Linked DNA regions of Drosophila melanogaster. The protein of the gene in region 1 binds, or shares a complex with, the protein of each later gene. Each region holds a gene or a part of one and is shown in the gene's direction. Other genes may lie near its edges. The genes, in order: Sgf29, Ada1-2 and Spt3.

Region 1 (7,877 bases):
TCTCCTGGCTCTCCTTTGTTTTATTTTGCCTTATATTCTTTTTTTTTTTGATAAAACCAAAAACAGTAACCCCAAAAACAGGGGTGTTTATCAAACTAGGCGTGTGTGTTCCCAGTCCAGACACACACGTGATGCGCGAATGTGGGGCTGTCGCAATGAAAACAAACGCGAAAAGCCAACGAACTACCAGAACTACCGAAGCCATCGATACCCTTGAAAATTAATAGGTCTGTCGAGGTTTTACTAGACAAGAACTCATTCATGGCAAGGAAACTATTCATTGCTACTCATTGTTTATGGCTAAGGAGAAGCACTAACAACAATGAGCATAACTCATTCTATACACACAAGTACACAATAAAAAGATCCTCAAATTAAGAATGTTTCTATTTTTGCAACTCTATAAGTTTAAAATAGGAAATAAAAGAATTGATTTGTGGGCACATAAACCTAAGTGATTTATATCGCAGAATATTTAGAAGCGTCTAGCGTCTAGAAGCCGTACCTCCAAAGCTCACTCAACGCGGATTAGATGTGTTATCTTATCAAACATTTGATGGCCAATTTCAAACACTTCTCAAACGACATAAAATATGGTTGGCATATTAATTACTACATTTTATATCATTAAAACGTTTACTCATCACAATAGTAGTGACTAATGGCATGGATTGTAATTGTTCAATATTCTTTGATCAAAAAAGAGTCATTTGCTGAGAGTAAAGAAAATATAAATATTCATATTGGAGTTCGTGTGTCCACTTTATTTGAATCACTCACTCGGGAAATCGAGATGCGTCTTTCGCCATTTGCTGATATGGCTAAATGCGATTCCACGAAACGCGAAATGGAATACACCGGAACATTTTCGACCATCTTCACGATTTTGCACTATATATTTATGCAGCTTACCGTCAGATGTCGGAACGATACAAAAACAAACTGAGACACTCCAATCGATGAAATCAGGTGCGATCAATGATTGCCAAATGTCTGATTTATCTCGCAAATTAGCACATGATTGTGAGGCGGATGGCTTAAAGAAGATCTCAAGTACCTTTACGGATTTGGATTCCATCGCTTGACAAGATCGTTGTGGAAAAATATAGAAATCAATGCACGATCAGTTCAAATTAGCACATTAAATTTGACGAGCGGTCAATTACTGACGATGATGTATTGAAATTGTGTATCTAGATCGCATTTAAGCTACCTCCCCACTTCGAGGATACAAAATGTGGAGTGCACGATAAGGGGAAAGATAAAGAGTGCCTTACTTTCGAGCACTCAAGGTATTATGACTGATTACATGACAGATTACAGTTTAAATAAAAACCTACAGCCGATAGCGCTCCCTTTAAAAGTAAACAAATAACTAAATTAAACTAGTGACGATTGCTAGATGAAAGCGAAATCCGCGCGGGGCTCGGAATAGATTATTATTATTATAAAAATAAATGCGTCTATACTGTAAGTGTGTATATTGCAAGTTCTAGGTCTCTAAGTTTATTTATGTAAACTACGTATACTTTACTTTGGTGTGTGTGGGAAACTCAAGAGTGAATAATACGATGGAGAATAAGTCAACTATTTAAGTGTACAATCTGTTAGCACATTTTGAGGCTACTTATGGGCCACTGCTAAAGTAGTATACTATATAATTATCGGATTCAGTCGTGTCTACAAATTAAAATGAAGCCTGTGTGATGCGGCATATTCAGCGGATCGGGCCAGAACCGGATAGCTCACCTGCTGACTGGATCAAGGGCATATATATCTGCGTGTCCGGATTTTTGGGGGTATATCCTTGGGATTTTCTGGGATCTGGATCTCGAGACGGAATGACAACAAACTACAGCTGAGCAGCTCTCGACAACAGCTGAGCGCACGTGTATCTGTATATGTATCTGTATCCGCGTAGCCGTATCTGTGTGAGTGCGGGTGGCTCAGTGTGTGGGTGCCAACTGAAACGTCGATAAAATATTTTTCTTAATCGCACAAAGAACGTGCGGCACTTGAGTAACTGTCGTGTGAATTAAATATTTCCTGGGCATTCACAAACAACAAAGCCACACAAAAACAAATTGATGACTTTTTGTTTAAGCAATCAACGGCACTGTACGCGTTCTCTTTTTTGTACGCACTTCACTTTTAGAACATTACACAATCAGTTAGAAAAAACTGGCGGCTAGTTGGTGACCCACTATTGCCATTTAACTATTATTTGCTTATTTTATTCCGCGAGCAACGAGCGAAATTCGCAGCTCCTTCATGTGTTATTTCAGCGCTGCCACCGGGCCGAAACTGTTCTGGCGTGTCTGCAGCCCTGGTGGCGTTACCAGACTACTTACCATCCCGAATCTCCTAAATAAACCAAAACGCCTGTTACAGCGCCAAAAGTCGCGACATCTTAATTAAAAACATTAATAAAATTGTTAAAATGTCCAGCAGCAAACTAAGTCCCCGGGAATCTGGAGCCTATATCGTAGAAAATGCCAAGCATGTTCGTATTCTGCCTGCAGGCATTGAGAAACTGACCCAGGAAATCGTAAAAGGCCTAATAGAAAAACGCATTGCTGTGGAAAACTTCTCGCAGCACGAATTACATCCCAATCCAAATCAGCCGGAGGATTATTCCAAAGCAGCCGACTGGGTCTTTGTGTTGGACACCCTGAACTTTTGCTTTTGGACCCCCAGTGAGTAATTGATATTTATAGCAGCATCCACTATCTTCAATGGTAATCTTCCGCAGATAACTACACCAAATATAAGGTCGATGGCTATACCGGCTACTTTGCGCTGTGTGCTGCGATTAAGAGAGCCATCAAGGAAGGCGTGGATGTGATCAATCCCAAGTTCTATTCCCAGATTGATCTGAAAACCGTGGAGAACATTTTCCGCTCTGACGATGGCGAGACAGTGATTCCGCTGCTCCAAAAGCGTCTGGAATCGCTCCATGAAGTGGGAAAAGTTCTGATCGACAAGTACGACGGCAGTTTTGAGAATGTTATCAAGAAGGCGGAGAAATCGGCAGTTCGCTTGCTGGATCTCGTTGTGGAGGAGTTTCCCTGTTTTCGCGATGAGGCTGAGTTTGCTGGAAAGCGAGTTTCCATCCTAAAACGAGCGCAAATCCTAGTGGGCGATGTGTGGTCCTGCTACAGAGGTCAGGGACTTGGGTTCTTTAATGACATCGATCAGATAACCATGTTCGCTGACTACCGAATTCCCCAGGTGCTAGTGCACTTCGGCAGTTTGGAGTACACCAGTGAGCTAATGGAGTTCCTAAAGACGGATACTATTCTGGAGAACGGCGATCCCCGAGAGGTGGAGATACGCGGCGCATCTATATACATCATCGAACAAGTTAGGGATGCTGTGGTGAAGATACTCAAGGAGCAGCACCCCGAAATCTCACTGGACAACGTCAACTCCATTGTGATCGACCAATATCTGTGGGACTACCGGCGTCGGCACAATGCCGACCTGGAGCACATTCCCTTCCACAAGGTGCTGAGCATCTACTACTAACGACGGCAACACAAATAAAGACGGTTCTTTGTTAAACTGAATTGTCCTTTAATTATCCACACGCGGGGCAATCATCTACAGAGTAACAGGCTTTGGCTTGCCCTTCTGGGAAGCGATGCGCTCGTTGTAGCGCTTCACGGACTCCTCGCGGGAAAGGTTTCCCTTGCGTGCGTAGCGCTGGTTGATCAGAAATTTCACATCCATCTAAAGACGGGAAGGTTGTTAAAATCAACTCTAGATGCTAACTAAATATGCATATTTTTGAATACTTACACCCAGAGTGGACTCGTGGCGTTTGCGCAGCGGGCGCTTGATGCCATTACGATGGGCCTTCTTGTTCTGGTTGTGATTTGTGTGGTTCTTGGACTTGGCCATCTTAAACTACTCCGGGTATCCAAAGATTCGTTGATGGGGCGGCACATGAAAACAGAAAAAATGTTCGCCATTATAATTTTAGCTTGGGGTTAACACTTGGAGTTCACTTTTAGCCAACGCCAGTTGAACAAAAAGCCAACAACTGTTGAAATTTTCGTTGCATTTCTCGTGTATTAGGCACCTACGTTTTTCGCACACTGGAATTCCTAGCTGCAATTGAAGATATTATAAATAAAAATAGCCAATTGGAAAAACGCGGAGCACACTTACGGAAACGCGATGGAAAAGAAGGGAAAGCCAGAGAGGCTGTCATAGAGCGCAGAAAAGGGACTAAATAACGCCAACCACGTGAAGATATCGTGCTGTTATCTGCGTGCTGTTAGGCGCACTTGCTTCCATCTCCAATGTAAGAAACGTAAACAACTTTGAAAAGTAAATATTCGAGTTTGAGAAAAAGATCCACTAAAGTCAAATAATGAGATTATACGGTACAAAAATCTTAACAATAATTACTCTGTTTTACTCTGTAAAATAAAATTTGCTAAGATTAAAAAAATACTGAGGTAAAATATAAAACTATCGCATAGTTAATACTAACGCGTTGTCGACTTTACGCTTATGCTTGTTTTTGTTTTCATTGCGTAGGTAAACAAAGTGTTCAAAAAACAAATTTATTATATTGTTATAATATCGAAACAACATGCCACTGACTGCGGAGAGTGCCGCCCAACAGATTCAGGTAAAGATGTTAACAATAAATGTCGATATATACTATATTTATATGGCATTTACAGGATCGCCTGAAGGACATTCAACAAAACATTCACAATGTGGACGAGGAGCGTCGTCGTGCGGAAAACTCCATTGCTAGTCTGGTGCGATCTCTGCACGCCACCAATCAGAAGGTTAAGCCCCTGCTCAAGGCCAGTTTAACGGAGGCTGCGCAGGAGGAGGCCACAATCCGAGCCGCACTGGCGAAAATCCACGAGATTCGAAGCATTCGCAATGAGAGGCGCATCCAAGGTGGGTTAGTGATGGGATGTATAAACAGGATTTAATCTCGCATATTCCACAGCTCGCAACGCTGGAAATAAGGAGGCCATTCGACGGGGCGCCCTTATGAAAATGGTGCAGCTCTCAGCGCAAACGTTGCCGTTATTCGTTGGCAAACTAGGAGAACGAGCACCAGCTCTATGTGGAGCCATTCCCGCCGAGGGGAACTATGTGGCCAAGGTAAGCATTCATTTTGATTGGACAAAGAAGCTGGGATGATGATCTGACTAATCGGACGCCACTGTATAGGTTGGCGACAATGTTGCCGCATTAGCTAAGGGAATTGATGAGGAGGAGAACTGGATCCTGGCGGAAGTGGTGCAGTTCCTTCACCGTCAAAACAAATACGACGTAATTGACATTGACGAGGAGCAAAAGGATCGCCATGTGCTGAGCAAGCGAAAGGTCATCCCACTGCCTCTAATGCGTGCAAATCCTGAGACCGATGGTCACGCCCTCTTCCCCAAGGACACAGTGGTAATGGCGCTATATCCACAGACCACCTGTTTCTACAAGGCCATTGTCCATCGCCTGCCGCAAACCGCCACCGAGGATTACGAGGTGCTATTCGAGGATTCATCGTACACGAATGGCTATGCCGAACCCTTGCCGGTCGCACAGCGCTATGTGATTGCATATCGTCCAACGAAAAAGGGGGCTGGCAGTGGCAGCGGGAATCTATCATCAGCATAAAAAATGTATTATCTTAACTTTAAGAATTAAATGTAATTGTAATAATAGCTCCAATTAAAATTGTATTCAATTCACAATAGACTGGTTTCTGTCTGGAATAAGAAGAAAGTAATTTCAGGGTGGTATTTTAATACCGGATTTTTTGGAGAACGGTTACATTGATTTCCTAAAAAAAATAAATAGACTTTAAAGTTTGTAGGAAAACAAAGGGGAAAGGCAGGCTTATAAGATGAGTAAAACGAGCTTAGCGACGCAGACCAATGGCACGGCGGAAAATGGAAACTGTTTTGATATCCTCAAAGTGTCTAATTTGTTCGAAACCAGCCTTCTGGACGAGGATGACGTACAATTAGACGCATACTTGGCAGCCTACGAGGAAATAATGAAGTAAACTGAGTGATTATGATGTTTATGTTTTTTAGTGGTGCTCTATTGGGCTTTCGGTGTTCATTAGGTTCTTCCAGCTCATGGGCAGTGTCTTCAGTTTTGTCAGCAGCGATGTGCGCAGTAAAATAGATATCTTATACGCCCTGAGAGCCAAGGACGCGGAGGAGCAGGAACACTTTAATACCTTCAGAACCATGCTGGATTACGAGAAGGAGGCCCAGTTGCTTACTCAGAAGGGTTACGTGTCTGGCAGTCGAACGCTGCTACGTCTTCATCGCGGTCTTGGTGAGCGTTATGCGCATATAACTGCCACAGTGGCTAATTGATTGGTTTCTTCTTATCTAGACTTTGTCTACGAGTTTCTCAATCGGATCCAGGCGATACCCGACGACCAAAAGACTGTGGACGTGTGCAAGGAGGCCTACGATGACACCCTGGGCAAGCATCACTCATTCCTCATCCGCAAAGGAGCGCGCCTGGCTATGTACGCGATGCCCACTAGGGGAGATCTTCTCAAGAAAGTGTGCTCCGATGTCGAGGCGGCCAAAGAGAACCTGCCTTCCATGCTGAAGCATATGAGAACCAACTACGATCGCACAGAAGACCTCTACACGCTATACGATCTACACAGCCTGCCTTAGAATCCATACATACATAATCCATATCTATACATCTGGGGCATTCAAAAGATCTGATAGAGTGATAAATACCAAAGTTTCCCTACTTTACCCTAGCCAGAAAAGATGCCTATAATATGATATTATACCATACTTTTATAATATGCTTTTGTACTGTATCTAACTCTCTATCAGATCTGGTGTCTACCCCGGCGTAGATTATGTAGCTAAAATTTTCTGTATTGATTGTGTAACTGCAAGTATTCGTTTCCTAAGACGTAAGTTTTAATTTTGCATTTTGAATTGCCTGCAATCGCTCATCTATCGCCTTGTCCACAGGCTGTGCAATATTTCCAAAATCCCCCGTATTTTAACGCCATTAAAGCTTTAGTCATGAATGAAAACTTGTCTTATCTCTGGGTGTATTGAACTTGGTCAACCTGGACAAACATAGTTTCTCGTGCCAGTTCCAAATATAACAGCATAATAAGCGATCCCGATTAGATAAGCTGCTGGGGGAATGCTACCTCATAAAAAACCCACTTCGGATACAAATGGCTTGGCGTATCTGCTTGTGATTATGGTCCAAGACAAAGACCGCTAAAACTCCCCTATATCTCCAGAATCCAGTCAAGATATATGGCCATTTGGGCTTAGCGAGCTAACTTTTGGAGCGCAAATTGCAGTAATGGCCGCCGTTTCAATTGCAGTCTAATTGCGCTATCGATTACGCCTTAGTCACTATCACTACGTATCACTATCAAAAGCGGTGAACTCTCAAAAAACGTGTTGAGTTGGCCACTTTATCGCCGTTTGGACAGGCGTTGTGCCAAGTGCAAACCGTAGAAGATGGTGGTTCTCCGGACAAATAATCCACAGACGTCACTGCTCCGTCTGTGAGTGCTGAAGTCGTTAAAAGCGCCTTCGACCGTCCGTTTTGGGGCATATTCAATCCGTCTGGCGCCGCGAGCATATGGAGCCATGGATGCTTCTAAGCAGTCGAGTCCGAAAAGAGAGAGTAATCCGTTTATCAAGGCCAATATAATCTCTAAGTGGCTGTTCCTGTGAGTCGTCAATATTTTTTTTTTATTGGTGAAAAGTGAAAATCTCTGCGGAAACGATGGTCATGGTCAATCAGTGAATAGTTTACAACTCGCGATAAGGATAGTGCTAATTGTTGCTAATAAGTGCTGATAAACAACATCTCCGAAAAGTTTAAGCAAA
Region 2 (7,825 bases), on another chromosome or scaffold:
TTGTGTGTGAAGATCAAGCTGCCTTAAAAAGTTTTAGTTTAATTGAAGGCACTTAGAAAATAAGAACTATAATTATTTGGCATACTGAGGAACTGTTTGGTAGTCATACATTAAATCAATTGATTTCTACTTGAGCTGGATTTGGCTCCCCTCGGTCTTCGCAAAAGCCCGCCACATTCGTTGGAATTCCGCCTGAAACGTGGCTGTGAGTTTGTCGTCAGCTGTGATAATGCAGTTCTCCCAATTGCCTCCCAGTCCAAGAGCCGTCCAGTTTACGGAGCCGCTGATCACGATGCTATAGCACGGACGCATAAACTTGAGCTTCCTCAGCAGACGAATCTCCTCGACGCGCTCGAAGCCGTCGATTATGCAGAATTTGTTGTGCATCAAGTTCGTGGTAATGGGGACGCGAACTGGAACTCCCAATTGTGCCAGCATACTGATCTGAGAACCTTTGGAGTAGACCATCTCCCCGTCGCTGATGATCCGGATAATCACGCCGCGCTGCAGGGCCCGCTTTATTGAATCCGCCAAAAAAAGCGAGGTGAAGGTGTATATGGCCAGGTCAATGGAGTATACAGCCCGATCGATCTGCTCTACGATCTTGGCCACATTCCGCAGCGAACAATGCGTGTTGCAGCAGGGCGACACTTGTGGTTTCTGGGATCCCATGCTGCTGTTGCGCATATGCACCGCCGCACAGATCTCGCCCAGTTCATTGAAGATGATCACTTCGTGCACGCGGCTTGCCTTCTCTCGCTTGCTGCGCGAGCACTGCACCAGCTTCCAAATCACCTCTGAGGCCAGGACAGTGCTGACGGCAATGCTTATTGTGGACACAATGGGATAGTCTCGAATTTGTTTCATAATTATTTGGGTAATCAACATTTTTGAATTTAGCTCGTTTCTCTAGCGCGCTTTAAATAATAATCTTGGGGTGACCATTATAAAATATAAGTAAAATATATTATCGTTAGTAGCTACCGGTCACACTGTTGCTCAGTAGCGTTGCCGTATCGCAGCCATGCGCTTGCCCATTCGAATCAAACAATCAATTTCGGGTCAATTTAAGCATTTTACCACCTAAATGGATGATCCATCCGCCACGCTCTTGCCCGAACACTCGGAAGATTTGCGGCTGGCTCGCGATGCGGAGCTGAAGAAGGTGCTCAAGCTGAAGCTAGTGCTGGACGAGCTAAGACGCCTGGATGTGGGCCCAAATCCGAGTGATGAAATCAAAAGAGCCCTCAAATTGGTTTCCATTGGAAGTTATGCGCGACTCGGCGAGATGGAGGGAGCTGGTCAGGAGCAGGTGCTTGGTAGGCGCGTTACAAGTTTATTCCAAAAGCAGTGAATAACCATTGGAAATCTAACAGGTCTACCGAGCGGCAGCAGTTTTCCGCCCTTGAATTACACGGATCGCAAGACGGTGCGTACCAAATTGTCCGCTCAATTACGCACAACTCTGCAACCCATTGCCGAATTGTGCGACAGGATACGCGAGGAGTTCCCGGACGCCTTTGGCCAGGAGGCGGACTTAAGCTGCGACCAAAAGGAGATTCTGCGCCTGGAGGAGGAGCATCGCAGCGGTCTGGAGAAATTGGTTGCGCTTCTCACTCGTAAGTGCACGCTTCTCAAGGAGACCGCCGAATTGAAATTGGGGCCGCAGTTGGCAAACGAACTAAAATTGCAACAGGCGCAGGCGCAACTTGTTCAAACAAAAGCAGAACTACTGCGCGGATTTTTCGTCCACGAGGCCGCCTCTCGCACCGAACATAGCGTCAAGGCACATAAGGAGGTGGAGGCGCACCTGGACGAGCTGCTCGCCGCCAAGAAGTAGATTTAAGCAAACTAGTATTATGTAAATTAGATTTTTAAATACATTATAATTGTGATTTAAACAGGGTTGTTCGTTTAGGTCTTTTCGCTCTAGAATGGCAACACTGTTTTGCACTGCAGTATTTGCAGACGGTCACTCTAGGGATAAACAATTTGTAAACAAAAGAAGCTTTTAAGTTTGCCGGAATAAAACAGATATGACCGAAACGAATCCCAGTGAAATATCTCCTCCGAGCGAAGAGCCACCGGCAGAGGACGAATCCACTGACCACTCTCCAGCGGAGGCAGTGCTGAGCAATAATTCCTCGAGTGTCTGCAATGTTGTGGAGCCGGATGATGAGCACGAAGTTAATTCCGTGGATCGGGAGGACACCGCCAGTTTGTTCAGCACTACTACGACCACCACCAGAAGCAAATCGCCAAATACACGAAAATTGAACCGCCTGTGTCGGCGGATCAAGGCACCCAAAATGGTTCAGCCCTTGTACAAATATAGGTGTGATTTTTCCAGGCAGAACATAAGTCATAATGTTTATATCCCGGATGCATTGCAGCTCCCATGTCCGCGAGGACCACAACCATCAGATCTTCGGAGTGCAGTTCAATCCGTTCCTGGACAGAGGCCAGCCGCAGGTGTTCGCCACCGTTGGCAAGGATCGGGTTTCCATTTATGAGTGCGAGAGGAGCACCGGACAGGAGTCCTGCGAAGGCATTCGACTGCTGCAAGTCTACGCAGACCCAGATGTAAGTACTCATCATATGCTATTACTTACATACATCATCGTTACGCCCTCGTTAGACCGATGAAAGTTTCTACACATGCGCTTGGTCCTACGACTCTGTGACCGGCGATCCTGTGCTTGCCGCGGCTGGTTACCGCGGCGTCATTCGCATATTCAATCCGGTTAAGCACCAGTGCAGCAAAAACTACATTGGTCACGGGCACGCCATTAACGAGCTGAAGTTTCATCCGACTAGACCGCAGTTACTTCTGTCCGGCAGCAAGGATCACTCCCTGCGCCTTTGGAACATTCAGTCGGACGTGTGTGTGGCGGTTTTCGGCGGCGTAGAAGGACACCGCGACGAAGTGTTGTCTGTGGACTTTGATTTGCGCGGTGATCGCATCATGTCCAGTGGAATGGATCACTCACTGAAGCTCTGGCGACTGGATAAGCCCGATATAAAAGAGGCCATCGAGCTGAGCTCTGGTTTTAGTCCCAACAAGAATACGGGTCCGTTTCCCACGATCAAGGAGCACTTTCCGGACTTCTCGACAAGGGATATACATCGAAATTATGTGGATTGCGTTCAGTGGTTCGGCGACTTTGTCTTTTCGAAATCCTGCGAGAACTCAATTGTTTGCTGGAAGCCGGGCAAACTTTCAGAATCGTGGCATGAGATTAAGCCACAGGAGTCGGCCACCACGGTGCTGCATCACTTTGACTACAAGATGTGCGAGATCTGGTTCGTACGCTTCGCCTTCAACGCCTGGCAAAAGATTCTGGCCTTGGGCAATCAACTGGGCACAACATTTGTCTGGGAATTGGACTGCAATGATCCCAATTTAACAAAGTGTAGCCAGCTGGTTCATCCCAAAAGCAACTCCACCATCCGACAGACTTCCTTCTCCAAAGACGGTTCCATTTTAGTTTGCGTGTGCGACGACAGCACCGTGTGGCGATGGGATCGCGTCAATTAGGATGAGTGTTTCTAGGCTAAAAGAATTTTCCTTATCCTTCTAAATCCGATACCATATTTATGTAACCATAGTTATTTTCAGTGTAATGTTTACCTTCAATATTAAGTATGTTATTATGCGTAGCATTTATATACAATACTCATTGTATTGACAATTTATGTTAAATTATGTTAAATTTTTTAACATTAACCAAGATATTTATTCTATTCTATTACTTTTTTAATGATCAAATAGCTTCGCAAATATTATCATCTTATGTTGTGTGAATGGCGTGGGCTCTATCTTTAATGTTTATATTTTAACTAACTAACTTGTACACAATAAAAACTGTGAACACTAAAGATTAAAACCAATATTTTTTTAAAGGGTTCTTCAAAAATAACGGTTTTTATCTCAAATGTATCTGGTATTTTCAGCCGTTCTTTGAACGGTCACTCGAATCAGCTGCATTCATTTGTTTATATAGCAATTCGCAAACAGTTGGATTTTCCTGTTTAGTTGTTATTCCCATTACTAAAATGCTTACCGACAGAGTTCTGGCCACCAAGGAGGCGCTAGTGGTGGCTCTGGGCGACAACTGGGAGCGTTACCGGGCCAACATGAAGAATTGGTTTCGGAGCCGTTGGACTAAGGAGGAATTCGATGCGGAGTCGCGGAAAATCCTAACACCTGACAAACTGCACCTGCACAATCAGTTCCTGCTCGCCCTGCTCAACAAGATCGACGCCTTTGCTCCCCTGGAGAATCCTCCGGCCGTCCAGACCAGCAGCAGTAGTGGCAACCGAAGCAAACGGCGCAAAAGAAGTTCCCGCACCTTCGCCGAACGCCTTAATTTTGAGCTCAGCGACGTCCTGGACTTTGTAGCCGAGGACAACATGCAAATCATTCGTCCGCCAACCACGATCGGTATTCCGTCGGACCAGCAACAGCAACAGCTTCAGTCGCAGCGGTACTGCGCGCAGGAACTTTTCCTGCCCGACGCGGGATTCATTATGGGACGATTTCTGATCGGTGCCTGGGAAATCGGACTTGTCTCCGTGGACGACAATGTCGCCGAGTACGTTGCCATGGCCGTGCAAGTTCTGCTCAAGGATCTACTATCGGCAATCATCAAGAAACGAAAGCACTACAAGACCAGCGGCGAGGGAAACTTTTACTACGATGTAGGTGCTCCGTTGCGTGATCCTTCGCTGCGCAACACCGTCACCCGGCAGAAGGTCGACGACACGCCGCTGGAACTGGACAAGGAACTGAATACGGCCAACTTTATGCGGCGACAGAACGACGATGTGACCTTCCTCTCCGCCTGCGAAGAAGTGTAAGCTCCTGAATAATAATGAGATTTTCATGTGAAACACAAACTTAGGTTTTGTTTCTTTCAGCCAACCCACCGAACGCACAGTAATCACCCTCAAGGACTGCCAACTGGCCTTACGGGATCGCAACCTGATAGGCTCGCATGCCGTCTACTCTATAAACATGGAACGACTCAATATGATGATGCATTAGCTTATAAGTTCTAATTATTTTATTATATCAGCTTCTGTAAAAATATATACATTATACGCTAGTGTACCATTAAGTGTTTGGTTCAGCAAAAATTCCGTGGAGGCGGTTTGAATGGCAAGGCACCTGGTAGAAATTGATCCGCCTTGAATGCTTCGATTTCCTGCTCGTTGAGATCCTCCATGCGACTGTAAACTGAGGACTGGATTTCGTTGGTCGGTTGAGCTTGCTGCTGCTGCTGCTGCATCATTTGCTGTTGCTGTTGCATTTGAAATTGTTGTTGCTGCTGCTGCATTTGTTGCTGTTGCATCTGCTGCTGCTGATGCATTTGTTGCTGTTGCATCTGTTGCTGCTGCTGCATCTGTTGCTGCTGCTGCATCTGTTGTTGATTAGGGAATGCAGATGCTGCTGCTTGAGCAAATAATCCGGAGGCAGCTGCCTGCTGCTGCTGTTGTAGTTGCTGAGAAGCCTGAGTAAACATTCCGCCCATATTTTGGCTTGCGGCTTGGCCAAAGATTCCCGTCGACTGTGGTTGCTGCTGCTGCTGTTGGAAACCACCGAAAGGATTAGGATTCACTGGCTGAGCTTGCACCTGAACCTGCGCCTGGGCGAAAATGTTGCCCCCTTGGAAAGCTTGTGCAGCAGGCTGCAGCTGTTGCTGCTGTGGCTGTCCAAAGACACTTTGTGCACCTGTTGCCGCAGCTCCTACACCAAAAATGCTATTCCTTGCATTGGCATTGCTAATCGTTCCGCCGAAAATGCTATTGGTGTTGCTGGCTTGGCTTGTGGCATTCCCAAATATATTTCCCGCACTCAGCGTGGGCTTTCCAAAAATGGATGCAGATGTATTGGCGGCAGCCGGAGCTGCTGCAGCGAAGGGATTACTGGACTGCTGAGGGGCAGCCGACACAGTGCCGCCCTCCGGCGTCTCGTGGATCTTGATCATCATTTCCAGGACCTGCGGCGACATCTGAAGCATGGTCTTCATCTTGTTGTTAGCCTCTAGGACCTCACGGTTAAACTGTTGGCTGAACTGTTCGAATTGGTTTTGTCGTTTGGCCTCGTAACACATGAACCGCACCTCCTCGAAGGATTGGTCCTGAATAAAGTTGGGGAAATTCGCTTTGTCCTTAAAGGGTCCGTAGGCGGACAAAGGCCACATCTTGCCATTGAGGCTGGATTCCATGTCGGCTTTGAGATATTGCCTAAAATAATTAAGTTATTAGTTCATCTGCATAGTTTTAATATCAATGTACTCACTTAACATCGAAATGCTCGTTGTTGCACTTTGCGCCATAGCGGCAGGAGCCTTGTTGAAAGAACCGGCAGACAACCATATTTAAATTTGATTTTAATTTTTGCCTATTTCCTATATTTATTATTTCAAAACTGCTTCAACTTTTGTACTTTTGTTTATAATTGTCTTACTTTGCGTATTGAGTATTCTTTGAGTATTTTATGGCTCACTGAGAAAAATATACCGTGCCTATGCGCGCAATTTCGTGAATTCGTAACTTAAGTTCGCTGAATGATTAAGATAATTTTGTAAGCAAACATATTTAAGATGAAAACTGGTTTTTGAAAATATAGTTCCTTGTAAATTATACATTAAGTGCGAATATATCTGAAAAATATTGGTTTCTTGCACAGATGCTATTCATTTTTCATATGTTCAAAGAAATTCAGAAACTTGCTTCTGCATAATCGAATCAGATAATTTTAAAGTGAATTCCGGAGTCCTTTGGTATATCTCGTGCCGCCGAATACGGTCCCACTGATTGTGAAATCCGTGATAACGAATTTTAACACCAGAATTTCTAGGATTCCATCAGAATGCAAAAAGTGCTGGGACGCATCCAGGCGCAGGTCCTCCGCTCCCGGGCGACGAATGCATTAGCCAATGTGGTTAGACACGAGGCCACCTCCTCCAGGACAGCGGCTAAACCAGCCGCCACATCCAAAGGTAAGCGGATCCTCCAAGATGCACAGTTACCGCTTACCAAAATCGTATTCGTTCGTAGAATTCCGGGAGAGACAGGTGCGATTCAACATAAAGAACGAACAGACCGAGGGTAGACCACTTTACCTGGATGCCCAGGCCACCACTCCAATGGACCCACGTGTATTGGACGCTATGCTCCCCTATCTGACCAATTTCTACGGAAATCTGGTTCGTACGCTTCGCCTTCAACGCCTGGCAAAAGATTCTGGCCTTGGGCAATCAACTGGGCACAACATTTGTCTGGGAATTGGACTGCAATGATCCCAATTTAACAAAGTGTAGCCAGCTGGTTCATCCCAAAAGCAACTCCACCATCCGACAGACTTCCTTCTCCAAAGACGGTTCCATTTTAGTTTGCGTGTGCGACGACAGCACCGTGTGGCGATGGGATCGCGTCAATTAGGATGAGTGTTTCTAGGCTAAAAGAATTTTCCTTATCCTTCTAAATCCGATACCATATTTATGTAACCATAGTTATTTTCAGTGTAATGTTTACCTTCAATATTAAGTATGTTCTTATGCGTAGCATTTATATACAATACTCATTGTATTGACAATTTATGTTAAATTATGTTAAATTTTTTAACATTAACCAAGATATTTATTCTATTCTATTACTTTTTTAATGATCAAATAGCTTCGCAAATATTATCATCTTATGTTGTGTGAATGGCGTGGGCTCTATCTTTAATGTTTATATTTTAACTAACTAACTTGTACACAATAAAAACTGTGAACACTAAAGATTAAAACCAATATTTTTTTAAAGGGTTCTTCAA
Region 3 (7,877 bases), on another chromosome or scaffold:
AGACGCAGTTCACAGCAAGCAACAGGCGCTCACTCAGAACAAGGATTTGGAACATGGCGTTGAACAGGCCAAGCTCGAGGCGGAGCAATTGCGTCTCCAGCTGTCGGAGAGCGCCCAACAATACGAATCGAAGCTAAACACGGCCACCCAACAACTACTAAGCCAAACCCAGGAGCTGGAAATGCACCTGGCAGAGCAAAAGCGATTGGAGACGGCGCTTCGAAATGCGGAACGAGCTCTGGAGGACCTGCGAGTAGAGTACACCGAATACAAGTTGAAGGCACAGTCTGTGCTGCGCAAAAACCAAAATAAGGGCTCCAACCGCGAACAGGAGTTGGAAGAAGAGTTGGTTGCGCTTCGAGAGAGTGAACGCAATCTGCGCGCCAGCAACGATGGAAGAGCTGCCCGCCTGGCCCAGTTGGATAGTCAAATAGAGGAATTGCGACAGGATAACACTGATCTGCAAAAGCGTAGCAAAGAGCTCGTCTCTCTAGTTGACGAACTGCGTCAGCAAAACGACCTGCTGTCGCTAGAAAACCAACGCCAGTTGCAATTCCAACACGACCTGATGCAGCAGCATCGCCAGCAAGTTGATGAGCTGGACGCCGGGCACCAGTTGCAATTAACGCAGGTGCAGGAGCAACTGGAGGAAGCGCAAAAGATGCAAGCAAACGTCTCTCAGCATACCACTGCATCCGCCGCGAGCGTGGACACCAGTCCAGAGCAGGCAAAGATCGATTACTTGCTTATGGACCACGAAACAGGCTTGGATGGCCACGCTGGAGACGTCTCTCTGGCCCAACTGGCTGCTCAGCGAAAGATATCTACTGCCTCGAGACGTTCCCACGACTTCATGCCGCTTGACGAGCTGCTCAACACATCAATGAACCAAATAACCAGCGATACCGTGACTACCATCTCTAATTTCGGACGCAGCGTTTCGCAGCAGGAGGACGAGGAAGCGGAAATGGCCGCACGGGGAGACTTTTCCGTCCAAAGTGCCCAGCTTCAGGCCACAAAAGAACGCCTAAGCATCCAGGAAAGTCGTGTCAAGCACTTGACTGCCCTGTTGGCCGAAAACGAACAGGATTTGGCTAAACTGACCCAAATGAACGACATGCTCAAGGAAGAATTGCGCCGCCAAGAGCGCTCCGAGGAACGTGAACAACACATGCACAACTCCGAGTACTTGAAGAACGTCTTCTTAAAGGTGAGATCAGGAACGCAATAACTATATCCACGGGCTTAATCTATTTACTTTATAAACTTGCAGTTCCTTACGTTAAACAATGTCGATGAGCGGCAGCGCTTGGTTCCCGTGCTAAATACCATTCTCCGCCTGAGTCGCAACGAAATGGAAATGCTGAACTGTGTGGCCAAGGGACAGAAAGGTAACTACTAGCAGAAAAATTTAAATTTTAGTATGGTTTCTTGTATTAAGATATTGCTTTTAGTTTCTGCAGATGGTAGCAGTCGCAGCTGGACGGGATTCCTCACTGCGTGGAGTGGAGGAGGCAGTCCCAATAATAACAACTAGCGAACATCATAGGATATATAATATATAAATATTCGTCTTGTTGGATGCGGATAGTCGTCAGTCGTTGGGCAGTTGCATAGCATTCATTCTGTAAATCTTGTACAATTTCCCTTTTATATATAATGTATTTTAAAATTGCTCGTTGCTGTTTGGCACATCGTACTTTGTACACTCTTGTAATTTGTCCACACCCGTTGTGTTGAGTGCCCTATACAGCACCACCGGCAATATGCGCGTTGTAGATTGAAGAAAGCCTTTGCATATATTTAAAAACAATGTTTTTCAATGGTTTGTTTAATTTGAAATTCTATTACCATATAGATCAGACTATAAATCAGATGCATTGTCTATAAATTAGTATTCCATTATTTGTATTGTATGTACTATATATAAATAGGATCGGTATTTATGCTTACATTTACACTTTTAAACGGTGTATATTGTTTACACACAATATAAAATATCATTAACATAAATCTTACATAAATTTCATTAAAACCAAAAGTGAGTAATCAAGTTAAATAAAAATTCTGTCTTGGCGGAATACATATGCAGGTGAACGATTTGAATCGAAATGCGCCAAAAGATTAAAGATCACAAGTCGAATAACTACTTAAATACTAATCAGTATTGTGAGCCCGGATCGGATCCTATGCCAATCTATTGCCAAACGCCCGCATAGTTGCCCACCAAAGTCGCCGGCAGTGGTCCTCCTGCAGCGAAGAGGCGCATCCTAGTGCTGTCATAGCAGTGGGTGTAGATGGCGGGCACATACTTCACCTGCTGGAAGCCATCCATCTCATCCTCCGGATACTGAAATGTACAAAACAGTTAGGTGAATTGGTGTATTTTGTGGAACTGTAACCTCTTCACTTACCACAATTCCTTTGCTGCACTTGAGTGCGACTGTGCGCGAGGCATTCACACTGCTCTCCAAATACTTTCCGGCTCGAATGTCGTAGAATAGGAGCATGCCCAGACCCGTGCCAACGGTGAGCAGGTTACCTTCGAACGAAGTCGCCCGTATACCGCAGCCACTGTATCGAGATGTGATCTTCTTAATGGTTTGAAGGGTTCGGGCGTCCAAAAGGATGGTATAGGAACGGCATCCAACGGCATAAAGGCCGTCGCTGTGGTAGGCGATGCTCACGTTGTCCTGGCAGTTTGGCAGCTTTCGTGAGAGTGTCTGCTTGAAGGTCTCCGCATTGAAGATGTGAATGTATCCGTTCAGCGAGAGGGCGGCGATCTCCTTAAACTCCTTGTTGAAGCAAAGAGATCGAATCTGTAAAAGATCTTATTGATAAAATGGTTCTTTGATTTGATTTGCATTCATAAGCTCACCCTCTGGGCAGTGCGAACTTCCTTGACACTAAGGGGGTGGATGGTTGCGAATGTGGGACACGCTTCCTCGCCGCCATCTGGAAACTCCATGTGATCCTCGTTGATGCGCCACAGAGCCATGCGCGAGTCCTTCGATCCGGACACAAGAAACTGGTCATCCAGCCAGCACATGCCCATTATAAGGTCGCGGTGCCCACCCTCGCCCACACAGACGGGATCCAGCGTAGGCAGTCGGTAAACAGCAATATCGGAGGAGTTGCGCGCACCGGTGGCTAGGAAGGATCGGCTGGGCGACAGCTCGATGGCATGCAGGCCACCCTGGACCTCAGGATGGTTTGCCCGGCTATTTGAGAGCGTTGGGATGGCGTCCACCCGGCGCATGTTCACATCGTAGACGAGCAGTTTATTGCACTTGGTCCCGAAAACCACTTGTCGACTGCTCAGCCACTTGGAGCAGAAGACCTTGTTGATGTAGCCCAGACTAATCTGCGTCTCGCGCAGCATGTCGTGGGTTAGCACATAGCGGCTGGTGTACTCCACATTGACACTGCGACGCTGCAGAGGATGGTGGGACAAAGTTCACGTTAGCAATGCAAGTGGTGCGACTTCACAACATATACCCACATCTCGGAGTCCACTCTCCCGGCTGCGCAGGTAGTCGCACAGGTTGTAGGATGTGTTCAGGACCTCCTCCTGCTGTTGGGGCGTCTCCTCGTCGCTGCCGGAATCCTCGTAAGTAACAAAGTCGTCTGGTTTGTCCGGTTTTCGTCTACGCTCCTGTCGCATCGCCCGCTGCTTGGCCCTGCGCTCCTCCAGCCGCGAGGATACGTGGCAGGACGGATAGGTGCCCACGACGCTGTCGCGGATGGTTCTCACCATCCCGTTGAACATCTTAAGGTAATTGTTTAATCCGATTTGTTGTCTTTTGCTTTACGGGTTATCATCCGCAAACAAAAATGGTGGTGCGTAGACTACAGTGGAACTACTGGTTCGGAACTGAAGTTTGCTGAACCGATTGTTTTGCATTTAATGCAGAGATACAAATTAAGGGAAATAAAAATACAAGTGTTGACATTTTTCTATTTGGCACAATACTCGGCCGCTCTGGTTACCTGAATATATATATATATATAATAATATATATATAATATACAGTATTTATATAAAGTCGGATGTCGCACAAATGCGTTACACTATCGTTCATCCCTAACGATAGGCCATCGCTTTCACAAAGGGTTTTATCTATTCTCACGAAATCAGCTGTTGCGATTGAAGTGGTGACTTTGTTTGTAAATAAAATGAACTACAACGCCAAGCGAGTAATGCGACAGAACTCGGTTTGCGTGGGTTCCAACGACATGGCAGCGTCGCCGATAATGATTGGACCTGCCCCGCCCTCGGCGCCCAGCACGCCGCAACTGCAGACCACCGAGGACATCAAGCCACTGCTTGTGCAGCGCCAAGTGATTCTGCTGCAAAGTGGAAGCATACCGACGAATCCCTCGCCACAGCAGATCAACCTAGCTGGACATAATGTAGCCGGTGGTGCCAGCGGGAGCAACGTTGCCAACGTTCTCATTCCGGATGATGCACCTGTCTCACTGCTCACAGAGATTGCGGATATCATGCGAAGCTTCGGCGACAGCGATCAGCCCAGGACGGGAAGTGTCAAGCTGGTGGAGCAGATCCTGCAGCAGCAGCTGCGCGGCATCTTCAATGAGGCTTCGCTGGTGGCCATGCGGCGGAAACAGAATCCCTGCCCGTCGCAGGCGGACTTTGAGTTCCTGATGCGCAACCATCCGGTGAAGATAGCTCGGATGCGAAAGCACCTCAAGGATATGCGCATACTCAAAAGGTTCCTTAGTATCCGCACGGGAAGGCCGCAGGACTTCATGGACGACTTGGAGCAGCAGGAGGAGGACGAGGAGCTGGCCATCGATGTGTACGAGCTACACGACGAGGACCGAATGCGAAGATTATTCCGCGCAGATCGGATATCGCAGATCCTTACGGGCCAGCAATACCTGGAGTTCAATGAGGCGCGCAAGACGTCATTCTACTGCCGCCATGGGGAGAAGATCAAGAACAAGTTCCGCCGCTTTCTGGACCTGCCCGCGGACCTTCGCATCCCAACGCCGACAATGAACATTTTGGCCTATCTGGCGCATGAGACCATTGCCGCCATTGTCGACTATTCGATCCTGACGCGCCTGAACTCGGACAACCGTGCGACCGAGCCCTACAGCCGAGTGACCTCCGCCGGAGGCAGTCCGGCTATGATGCACGTCTGTCCGGAGGTCACACAGGGTCGCGGCATGGAGGTGGTCAAGCCAATCAGTGTACCGGAGATCCACGAGGCCATGCGCCGTTTCCGGCAAATGAGCAGCCGTAAGATTGGGCGGTATCGCAACTCTTGCGACATCGATTTCCGGCGCAGTTTTCTAGCCATTTAAGTTTTAATGATCTTAATATCCTCGCCTATTTTTATTTGCGTCAATTATTGATTTTATTCACAAAAAATAGACTGTACAATTAATTCATTTAAAGTAATTCAATCCCCAACAATTAACGCGCTCTACATTTTAATTATACAAATTATAAAATAAAGCAATTTTGGCTCGTTAAAAAAGTTTTTTCCTGAGAGGTCAAGAACAACTAGGCATATTCATTAATTCAATTTGCCTGTGGCACATATCCTGGCCTTTGAGGCTGCGACTAAAAGACAGAAAAACGCACTCCAATTACGGACGGGTGAATCTGCCTCGCATGGAGCCGATAAATTGAAGCGGTAAACGAAGTTGAAACTGGCACCGACAGATAAATAAAAGCGCAATAAAGAAATTTGCCGACAGGCGCACTCGCACGTGTGCCACACAGACGGAGCGAAGGAGAAGGACCAGCAAGGATGCCGCAGGATTGCAGGAGAGACTGCAGCATAAGGCATTAAGAGAAGCAACTCGCGAACGCACTTAATAATCAACTTCCTGTTGTGCATATAAATGTGTGTGACACGCATAGCAACGAAGGGTAAAGGGGTTAAAATTCATTCCGCAGTTATGGGTGGCGGGTTTCATTCTGTCTTTTGCCGTGAATTGAAAAGGATTAAGAATTATTGCTCAATGTCACTTGAACTTTTAATATATGTACATATGTGCAATTGTGGTCATGATTGTATAGCAAAGGCAAAATCCAAATCTTTTCCAAAAACCTTTTTAAAATAACTTTTAAAAACCATTTATTTGAAATTTTTCTTATTCCTATCACCCGCTTGTTTATCTGATAACATGCGGTCCGAAATTTGACTTAAAATCGATGCACCTTTAAAGGTATCCTCTTGTTATTTTCTTCGGTGGGATATCCTAGTTTAATCGGATCTTAATGTTGATTGCTCTGTGCTGCAGATGTAATTCCAACGGCCCATTATTCTTAATCGATTGCTCATACGCCTAACGAGCGCCGGAACGCAGTCGATAGCTCCTCGATGGCCAGTTAATGAAAACAAGCTGGCTGTGACGAAATTAAGCCAACAACTTGTTTCCATTCCAGCATCGTCCTTGTGATTTTTTTCCTTGACCCCGCGCACTGCTCCCCACACTTCTCCACACTCACTGTTAATGTTTCCAAATTTGCATTTCATGCGGCTCTTCGCTTCGTCCCCAACAGGACCATCATCATCAGGTCCGTGGAGCTCGTCGTCGCGTCGTCATTTCTTCGTATTGTCAAGTCACGTAGCCAATTTCCAGGCCGCGTAAAGTCAATATGCCCCAATCCCTTGTAGCCGAGTTGCCTTAAACTTCTCTTAAAGGGAAGGCCCTCATATTATACGTATGTATGTAAATATGCCTCTATACCTTAATTTCTTGAATAATTTAGAATACAGAATTAATTATCCTTCGAAAGATACTGTTTTGAAAGATACTGTTTTCTAAACTTTTCTAACAATGATAGTTAAATAGAATTACACTATGTAAACAGAAAATCATAGCATGAATATTGAAAATTTTTATTCAAAATTGACTTATGTTTAAGAACATGTTTGCTGAGCGGCTAATTAAGTAAAGCTTTTAATTTCTCTAACTTGCCACAAAGAGTGTGCAGTTGAGAAACATCAATTGCATGTCTGGCTTAGCAATTGGATATTTTTGAAAATCCGTTCGGCTAAACTTTTTTAATTACTTTCGCTTTCTCGAAAAGTTGCTGACGTCAGCCGGAGGCAATTTCCCCCGATGCCCAGCCCCCGAGACCATTGACAGTTGTCTAGGCATAAACCATTAGAAGCTAGCAAAAAAATAAAAGGAAACCAAAACAAAAACAGTCCCTCGGAGGAGCATATTACACGGCCTTTTAATTTGAAACCGTCTTGGAATGTGTTGACACAAGTACTCAGGCTAAATACGCTGGAGCCGGTCTTATTCAAAATGAATGAGATTAAACGCCTCCAACGGAAAGATCCCGCCAACGCCATCGCCATTGCTCCGTCCATCCACCTATCCGTCCTATGAACGGAGCCCAAGGGCATTCTCATCTCATTGTCATTGGTGGCACAGCATCCATGGTCATGCCACTCCATCCCCGAGTGCGATTGGCAGTGCCACCGAGTGCGTTTGGGTGCCCAGGTGGGAGGCAGGTGGGTGACAGGCGGGTCGAGGTGAGCGCACAAAGAAAACTGTCTTTATTTAATTAGTTAAGTGGCAGGAGCAATTATATATTATGTGATCAAAATACTTGACCTACTTACTCAACAACGATTTTAACTTCCTAAACGCAGCTATTTACATCTTGAGTTAGGAACGCATGGATGTGTGATGAAAACAAGTTATGCGTATATGAATTGAGTGTTCTCATTGAAAGTCGCAAGTTCAGCAGTATGATGAAGATGTAAGCACCTTGTCTGGAATTCAGCAATTTAATTCAGCCTAAAGTGAAATTTATGCAAATTATTTTATCTAATTTTATATGTATTTAATTAATTGATGTTATTAACAATTATTAATTAAGA

The links.
Region 2: Sgf29 (region 1) and Ada1-2 share a complex: the UniProt entries of both Drosophila melanogaster proteins name them as parts of the spt-Ada-Gcn5 acetyltransferase (SAGA) complex.
Region 3: Sgf29 (region 1) and Spt3 share a complex: the UniProt entries of both Drosophila melanogaster proteins name them as parts of the spt-Ada-Gcn5 acetyltransferase (SAGA) complex.

The regions. Positions count from the first base shown.
Region 1 is NT_033778.4:21,290,086-21,297,962, reverse strand, and holds Sgf29 (SAGA-associated factor 29kDa), read left to right. Parts: upstream 1-4,316; 5' UTR 4,317-4,466; intron 4,467-4,521; exon of another isoform or gene 4,522-4,548; 5' UTR 4,549-4,603; coding exon 4,604-4,642; intron 4,643-4,697; coding exon 4,698-4,926; intron 4,927-4,978; coding exon 4,979-5,136; intron 5,137-5,205; coding exon 5,206-5,649; 3' UTR 5,650-5,724; downstream 5,725-7,877. Other genes in the region: CG9752 (uncharacterized protein), read left to right, coding at 2,441-2,696, 2,753-3,528; RpL29 (ribosomal protein L29), read right to left, coding at 3,604-3,732, 3,802-3,903; CG30392 (uncharacterized protein), read left to right, coding at 5,879-6,036, 6,104-6,321, 6,382-6,677; CG10505 (uncharacterized protein), read left to right, coding at 7,635-7,717. UniProt on the Drosophila melanogaster protein: Component of both the SAGA and CHAT histone acetyltransferase complexes, which both predominantly acetylate histone H3.
Region 2 is NT_033779.5:11,988,937-11,996,761, forward strand, and holds Ada1-2 (transcriptional adaptor 1-2), read left to right. Parts: upstream 1-3,965; 5' UTR 3,966-4,056; coding exon 4,057-4,856; intron 4,857-4,920; coding exon 4,921-5,047; 3' UTR 5,048-5,118; downstream 5,119-7,825. Other genes in the region: zuc (zucchini), read right to left, coding at 127-888; dgt2 (dim gamma-tubulin 2), read left to right, coding at 1,088-1,319, 1,377-1,840; escl, read left to right, coding at 2,037-2,335, 2,394-2,583, 2,639-3,538; CG18789 (uncharacterized protein), read right to left, coding at 5,130-6,249, 6,305-6,381; Qtzl (quetzalcoatl), read left to right, coding at 6,878-7,007, 7,066-7,307. UniProt on the Drosophila melanogaster protein: Component of the transcription regulatory complex SAGA, a multiprotein complex that activates transcription by remodeling chromatin and mediating histone acetylation and deubiquitination. The SAGA complex predominantly acetylates histone H3.
Region 3 is NT_033777.3:12,013,050-12,020,926, forward strand, and holds Spt3 (Spt3), read left to right. Parts: upstream 1-4,106; 5' UTR 4,107-4,176; coding exon 4,177-5,331; 3' UTR 5,332-5,501; downstream 5,502-7,877. Other genes in the region: GCC185 (GRIP and coiled-coil domain containing 185 kDa), read left to right, coding at 1-1,210, 1,274-1,391, 1,455-1,537; DCAF12 (DDB1 and CUL4 associated factor 12), read right to left, coding at 2,198-2,350, 2,415-2,819, 2,879-3,433, 3,503-3,769. UniProt on the Drosophila melanogaster protein: Component of the transcription regulatory complex SAGA, a multiprotein complex that activates transcription by remodeling chromatin and mediating histone acetylation and deubiquitination. The SAGA complex predominantly acetylates histone H3.